Linked DNA regions of Oryzias latipes. The protein of the gene in region 1 binds, or shares a complex with, the protein of each later gene. Links are inferred from orthologs where the notes say so. Each region holds a gene or a part of one and is shown on either strand. Other genes may lie near its edges.

Evidence for each region. The genes of interacting proteins can lie anywhere in the genome.
Region 2: the proteins of e2f1 (region 1) and rb1 are in contact, whole or in part, in a crystal structure (PDB 2AZE), measured with the Homo sapiens proteins. The link is inferred for Oryzias latipes from reciprocal best matches to the Homo sapiens genes E2F1 and RB1. Residues at the interface, in NP_005216.1 of Homo sapiens: Ala267, Pro268, Pro269, Glu270, Thr271, Gln272, Leu273, Gln274, Ala275, Val276, Asp277, Ser279, Glu280, Asn281, Phe282; in NP_000312.2 of Homo sapiens: Ser829, Arg830, Ile831, Leu832, Val833, Ser834, Ile835, Phe845, Ile848, Met851, Val852, Asn854, Ser855, Arg857, Val858, Leu859.

The regions. Positions count from the first base shown.
Region 1 is NC_019865.2:2,000,237-2,004,312, forward strand, and holds the start of e2f1 (transcription factor E2F1), read right to left. Parts: upstream 2,801-4,076; 5' UTR 1,892-2,800; intron 1,802-1,891; 5' UTR 1,596-1,801; coding exon 1,344-1,595; intron 1,256-1,343; coding exon 1,156-1,255; intron 37-1,155; coding exon 1-36. Other genes in the region: znf341 (zinc finger protein 341), read left to right, coding at 3,312-3,342, 3,800-3,910. UniProt on the Homo sapiens protein: Transcription activator that binds DNA cooperatively with DP proteins through the E2 recognition site, 5'-TTTC[CG]CGC-3' found in the promoter region of a number of genes whose products are involved in cell cycle regulation or in DNA replication.
Region 2 is NC_019872.2:15,926,888-15,930,387, forward strand, and holds part of rb1 (retinoblastoma-associated protein), read right to left. Parts: intron 2,866-3,500; coding exon 2,756-2,865; intron 2,677-2,755; coding exon 2,599-2,676; intron 2,138-2,598; coding exon 2,050-2,137; intron 1,969-2,049; coding exon 1,852-1,968; intron 1,433-1,851; coding exon 1,376-1,432; intron 1,227-1,375; coding exon 1,195-1,226; intron 1,068-1,194; coding exon 991-1,067; intron 842-990; coding exon 621-841; intron 1-620. UniProt on the Homo sapiens protein: Tumor suppressor that is a key regulator of the G1/S transition of the cell cycle. The hypophosphorylated form binds transcription regulators of the E2F family, preventing transcription of E2F-responsive genes.

The DNA.
Region 1 (4,076 bases):
TGTCGTACCTCGACTTCTCCGCCGTGCTTCGAGGAACTGGAAAAGCAGTGAAAAACACGCCGCCTTAAACCTCCTCCACAAACAAAACACACATCCAGGTGGAAAACAGGTGATCCTCCGACTCCAGCTGTGAAGACGTTCCAGCGGCACAGGCAGGCCTCGTTTGGACCACGCCATCGAAACTTTTATTTTCTTTAAGGTAATATTTATAACCAGCCTTTAAAGAAACTCCAAGCCCCGCCCTCTCTGACGTGGCCACGGGACCTGGATTTCGGAGCCACGGCGGGTCTTTTGGTGGTTTAAAAATAGAAATCCACCGATGAAGATTCTGCTGAAGGAAACATCTTAGAACTGAACGGTCAAATGTGGATTTCAGTGATAAAAAAACAAAAGGAACTGAGGCTCAGCCTTCAGCAGAAATTCTCCTTCAACTTCTCATCCCAACGGCCCCAAACGTCTGCGGACGGAAACGCTTCACGCAGCATGTGGACGCCATGATGTCATGAGTCAGTCTGAGCGTTACGCAATCCAAAAGATGTAAAATGATTGGTGGTCCTGTTCAAAAACACAGGACCTGGACTGCTCTATCCTGCATTAAATTAGGATTTAGATAGTAAAGAATTCATTAAACACAGTTTCTGACTCATGAAAATGTGAAATAGGAGGATTTTATAGTATTTTACGCACCGGGTCCTCCTAAGACCCGGTCCTTTTGAAAAACCGCTGGACCTGGACTCATTTTTATTTAATCATTTTAAAGTTTTTGTGGCTTTCCTGCTCGCAGCGCTCTGTTGTTTGGGATTCTGTTGCCTCCCCTCTTGTGAATTCGTGTCGTCTGCCTGCAATGCAGCTCACCAAACGACGGCAGACTAAAAATAGATCATTTTAAATTGATCAACTACATAAAATCATCCCATTTCAATGTTCATAAATCAGAAGCTGTGTTTAATGAATTCTTTACTATCTAAATCCTAATTTTAATCCAGGTTTGAGCAGCCCAGGTCCTGTGGTTTCTGAAAAGGACCTGGTCTAAGGTGGTCTTAGGGTGAAAAATGCAGTGGAATGTTCCTTTAGTGCCCCCGCTAACCGGACGCCAGCTTCAGCGCCGTGAAAGGATGCCGAGTCGGCGCTCCTGCTCCTGAGCGTGCGGCGTACCTCTGGGAGGAGCAGGAGTAGAAGGAGGTGCTTGGCTGGCGGAGGATCGGGTGGTGCTGACATACTGGTGGTCGCTATCCAGGTCCAGCTTCCTCTTCACCTAATCATCAAATGAAGAGGAATCGATTATGTGAACCCCGGCGTGTGATGATGTGGCGGCGGCGGCCGCCTTGAAGCCACGCCCTCACCGGAGGTCTTCCCAGAGCCGGCCTCCTCCTGTCCTGGCCCCCCGCGTCGGCGTGGCTCTGCGGCGTGGCGAATAGCAGGATTTCCCCCGTGCTGCTGGGGGCGGCCAGCGGGTGGAGTCCCTCATTGCTGGGGCTGGTGATGATGACGATCTGGTGGTCCTGGCTCAGATCGATGCTCCCGGAGTTCAGCAGAGTCTCAAAGTCCTTCAGCAGATCCTCGGATGTCTGACCCGTTATCAGAGTCTCTGACATGGCACTGCCTGCCGCCCAAAGGGCTCCTGCAGCAGACTGGGGGAATGCCAGGGAGGGTGGGGGCACCAACTGGGGTATCAAAACAGGCTCAGCACCAGGTGACCCCAAACATGTTAGGAGGACTTGAGGAGAAAATGCTGATCCATTAACCTCTCCTCCTCCTCCTCCTCCTCCTGCTGAAGGTTGACCTACAGCGAGCCTGAAATCTGCAGATCAACCACAGAGGAGTCGAAGGTTCAAACGTCAAGGCGAGACGTGGAGCCCAAACAGGAAACGACCCGCTGAGCGCATCCTACTTTAGGCTCACGCGCTGCTCGGCTCGCGCGCCGTTTTCAGCGGAAATAAAAGAAGGTCAAAAGACGAAGTAGAAGAAGAAACCCGCCGTAAATTGAGATCATGAGCGAGCTAGCCTGCTAGTCTTTCGTTTTCCTGTCAGAGGCCTCGCCACTCCGTCCTCAAACACAGAGCTACCAAGCTAACGAACTAGCTTACCACAAGAAAAGACTACAACAACTTTGCTAATAAACACGAACAACAGCAGAGGACTACATTTACCACCACTACCTAAAAGTTTATCTCCTTTTCCCTACGATATGGCTTCATTAACGGGTTCGGAAAACTTTATAGACGCTCACAGAACTGGGCTATCTAAGCAATAAAAAAAATACACATTCACTCGGCGGAGGCATCATGATCGCAGATCCACACCATCTTTGAGAAAATAGTTCCCAAAAGAAAGCAACCATCCGTCCGGGCGACGGCGACGACAGAGAGTTTAGCGCGGAAATACGGGGAACTTTAGCATGCTAGCTTCAGGGATTAGCTGCAGTTCTTCGGTCCCCCTCGTACTGTTGGGGCACGCAGGAAGCACTCGGAGAAACGCGGGAGATGCAGACAAAACGGAGGAAATACTCGCTCAAACGTTAAAAAATGTGCCGATGCTCCTTCGTCTGCTCGCCGAAGATCGGGTCCATCTGTAAACGAGCCGCGCCGACCCCATTAGCAGCCGTCATTGTTGTTGTCCCAGCTGATCTATATCTAAACAAGGCTGGACGGTTTTCGCGCGAAATCCTTTTTGCCGCGAAACTGGCACGTGGGGAAAAGCGACCGCTGGGATTGGCCAGTGGGATTCGTTTTGCGCGTGACGCGATTGGTGTCTTCCGATTGGTGGAAATGGCCGTCTGTCACGTTACAGAGCATGGGGAAAACTGGCCTTCCATGTGACCAGGTTGGTGTTCTCTGATTGGCGGAGATGGCCGTCTGTGACTCTCCAGAGCACAGATTTGCTGATTGGGAGGTGCATTCACGTTCCACGGACAAAAGGCTTCTTAACTGCTTTGTTTAGGAAATTTTAAACAAAATAGTAAAACACGTAGTGTCAGTTTCATGTAAGGTTTCCCAAAACTAAAAGATAAACTCCTTTACCATATTAAATATATGATGTAACAGTCTTTGCGTCCCAGCTTAAAAAAGTTACGTTTTTTCAATGTAGTCCCTAGCGCTCCCTCTCCGTTTAAGCAATCAGATTAACAAAAAATAAAGTTAAATCTGATTGCTTAGGAACTTTCTAAACTAGAGTTTTCTGGGGGTCTGAACCAAATGTGATAAGTTTTTTTCTATTTGCAAATATTAATGTAAGCATTTCATTGGGGGGTCTGCACCTAAAGTAACAGACCCTACCAATCGATCACCGATGGTAAACAGGAGCGCTGTAAGATGGCGCAGACAATATTCGAGGCGCTGGAAGGTACAAATATAGTCTTATTTACCGCGCAATTATTAAATATGTTATATGCCAAAGAAAACCACATCATGTAAATTAACTGGAGACTTGTTTGAACACTAAATCACCCTTTAAACGGGTATTATGTAGGCTGTAAGCACCCTGAACTGAAGGGTTCTGCCTGATCTGATGATGATGATTGTAAACAACCTGATTATATTTTAAAGATTAAGACTGTACTGCTATAAACGGCTTTTTTTGTAAATGTAATATTAATTATTTCTGTAATATAATAACTCATCTCGTATGTCAGTGTAAAAGCTGTACATGTGACAATAAAAGCTATTCATTAATATGTGAACATGCACTCCTCGCGTTATTGTTTCTGTCACTTTCATGGAGAAGCAGATCTTCTTCTAACATGTTGTAAAAAGAAAAGCTGTTACTGATGTTAAATCCCTGTTTCCCTCCATCCCCTCAGGCATGGACAACCAGACCGTTCTAGCAGTCCAGTCCCTGCTGGATGGCCAGGGGGGAGTCAATGACCCCAACAACCAGAATGTGTCTGCAGGATCCACCATCCAGTCTATGGGTAAGGAGCATTCTGCACCGAGCTCCACAGGACTGCTACAGATTAAGACAACTAAGCTCAAAGTTGCATTTCCGAGTATTCGTAAAAGATCGCATTTGTGACGTAGAAAATCCGCCGGGCGGGGCCACAGGCTCCCTGCTCCGCCCCATTCTGATGCATCCACTTG
Region 2 (3,500 bases), on another chromosome or scaffold:
TTCAAATTTTTGTGCAATCTTTTTGTTCAACCCATGGAATAAAAGCTGAAAGTCTGCACTTCAATGGCATCTGAGTTGTTTTGTTTAAAATTCACTGTGGTAATATTCAGAAACAAAATTAGCACAAGCATGACTGCAAAAAGTGTAACCAAAGCTGCTAAAGAAAAACATTTTAATCTATCTCTAAATAACTGAATGCACAGAGGCTCTAAAAACAACGCAACAAGTCTTTCATGCTGTGTCTTCAGTCTGAATTTTTTTTGTGTCAAATACCTTTTTATTTTTTTTGCTTTAGCTCAAAATGCTGATTTAGAGTTTGTGGTTTTAGCAAAGTAAAGTGTTTTTTTTCTACAATTATCTGAAGTGTTTTTGTGTGTTGACCAAAGTAGTGAGTCGTGCAAAAGCAGGGAAGTGGCACAGCCTTATGTAAAGCATCTCCTTTCTGTTCTGAACCCTGATGAAAACCTGCCACTGTGTTACAGCCTGTACCTATTTGCTAAAACGTGTTTCCTTTTCTGTAATTAAAATAATTTATTTCATATTTGAGTCAATGATGTCTTTAATACTCTGCATGCTTGCAGGATGCACTGGTTTAAAGAAAGGTGAGTAGTGTAACTGACCGTCCTCCATGCGATCTTCTCCATGATGAGGTTCTCACACGTCTCCAGATGTTTGATAATATCTTTGCTCAGAGTTGGTTCAGCCTTGATGAAGCTTTCGATGACTTTGTAGAAGTCAAAGGCGGAGAGATCGAACACATCGAGTATCCACGGGAAACACAGGTCTCTCACTGCTTGGTCGCCTTCTCCATGACTGCATCCTCTGTTTTTGAAACTGCTCTCTATTCATGAAGCACAAACATTTTTGCAAATGTTTAACAGAAAAGCCATGCCAACAGAAATCCTATAGAAAAATTAAATTAAATAACCTTTTTTTTAATAAACTAGCTTTAACTTTATTTATTTTTCATAAGCTAATGGGTGAATGTACCTTCGTATGTTGCCATGACGACTTCCAAAGCACAAGCCAAAAGGGACATGTGAAACGTGGAGTCATTGAGAAGTTTGCTGAAAATTATAGCAAGTGATTTGTGAGGCAAAGAAAACTGCAGGATCAGTGTCAAAAGAAAATAAAAAATTAAATGCGTAAAGAGTCCCTGACTACACACAAACACGACAAAGATGCAAAATTTACCTGAAATTTTGCACAGACAGTCGCTTCTCCTCCTTTGAAATAAAAGCAATAAAACTGTTCAAATATGTCTGCTACGGTTTTCTAAAGGCAAGCACTGTATGCACTCTAAAGTTTATTTGACAAAAAAGATACATTTAGTTAAATACATCTGTTGAAACAAAACAACAATAAAAAACTTTACCGATTCTAGCATTGCCTCCATGACCTTGTAATACAGCCTAACTCCAAGAGTAAATCTCTGAAAAGTAAAAGAAAATAGGTAATATTATTTAAAATTATGATACGTTTTAAAGGGTTTTGCCAACATTGAGAAATATTAGGTTAAGAGCAGCAACAGGTAAGTAACACTGGTGTAGGTTTCACATTAAACTGATCCCTGGTTTGTGTTTTGTCTCTCTCAAAATGTTCTGAAAGGTCAAATCTTCTGCAAAGTGGAAGATGTGGTTAAAAGAAAATAGAAAGAAGCTAGTTTTGGTGCTCAAACTTGATAAATTGGATCCATTCTGAAGAATCTTTTCATTCATACAAATAGATTTGATTGTTTTCTGATCCAATGTTTTGTCATTTTAAGTCTTGCTTAATTTTTTTTAAATTTGGAGAAATAAATCTAGCAACTGAAAATCTAATAAAAGTGAACATAATAGCGGTATTTCATACCTCTCTGCCATACACAATGCAATGCGGTCCAACGGCCTCACCAAACTTCTGGCTAAACACCTGTCCAAGCATCTCCAAACGCTTCTGTATACCCTGGGTTGGGTCCACAGTGCAGTTCTAAAGATTAGTAGCAAAAAAAGCAAGTATAAATCTGCAATTTGACAGAAAGCATCATTTCAGTGTTTTGAACAGACCCACTTTAAAATATATCGCAAGATTAGAGGATGGCTGGTCTCCACTGGAGGGAAGGTCACCCCTCAGCATCTTGATAGAATTCATTGCAGCTCTGCGAAGGAAAGTTTCAAAATAAGGACAAATGCAGAGACTTAAAAAAAACATTTAATACCAGGTTAAGTACCATAATTACCCACAAAGGTCTCGTAATGTCAATGTAAACATTTTCCCTTACAGATATAAAAACGAATGTTAAGTTTCCACCTATTTTCACATGTGTATTTGTTTTGTAAATTTGAATACCTTCTTTTCAAACAGCCAGTTTATGGCATCTGGTATGTCAATAATTTTACAGGCCAAATTTAAAAAATGTAAAAATGTTATAAATATTTTCATAATATAAAATTATTCACACATTTTTGTATTAATATTTAGGTTTTGGACATTTCCCTTCCCCTTAAGTAGACAAATTGTCAGTTTTAGTAAAGAAAAAGAAAAACATTTATAGATATATATAAATTACCACTTGATGGTGTGTGTGTGTGTGTGTGTGTGTGTATGTGTTTGGTCAACCTAATTGGTGTCTGTGGAGGGATTAATGGCCCGTCATCATCCGGTGAGGTCTTCTTGGGAGTTCTCTCTACCTGGGAACTGAAGGCAGAACCAGACTCTCAAACAAGACTCTTCAACAAAGCTCAGAAACCAAGATGAGAGGGAAAAAAGAAATTACATGTCAACTTTTGGTGCAAGGACGGTTTCATCTCCATCGAAAAACAGTCGACCATCAATGTCTCCACTCTTCAGGTAGTGCTCTTGATACTGCTCGCTGACATCAGTCACCTGAGGAGAAGATTACAGTATATGGGGTTTACAGCACAGTATTGTGCCATTTAACAAATATAAACACAGAAATAACTTTGACTTTAATTGGACCTGGGGCTTAGTTTATAAAAATGCATAGATTTTGGTGTAGAAAACGTCCAAATTAGAAAATGTGCGGACAAAGGGAATGTTCGGATGTTGTGACCTAATTCCTTCCCTACTCACCATATAGTGTTTTGCCATTTTGAAGTGCTGTCCGAATCTAAAATTCCAAAACTAAGTGCCCTAGAAATTTCACAGAAGTCTCTGCGAAAAACCAGTGTGCTTCGCTGCTCACTAGATCGGCGATTATAGACCACAATACATTGCATCGTAACAATTTTTACAAAAATATGTATTTAAATGTATTTTCTAATAAACCATCAACGTATTTATCTTCAGAAGACAGTGGACTAGTACATATTCGTCACAAAACGCTCATATTAATTCGATTTTAACTTCGTGAAATCGAAGACGTCTTACAGTGGTGGACAATATTGTTGGTTCCCCTCAGTTAAATAAAGTCCACAATGCTCACTGAAATGACTTGAAATGTTTAAAAGTAACAATAAATTAAAATGTATTAAAAATTAAATAAGCAAAATCAGCCATTA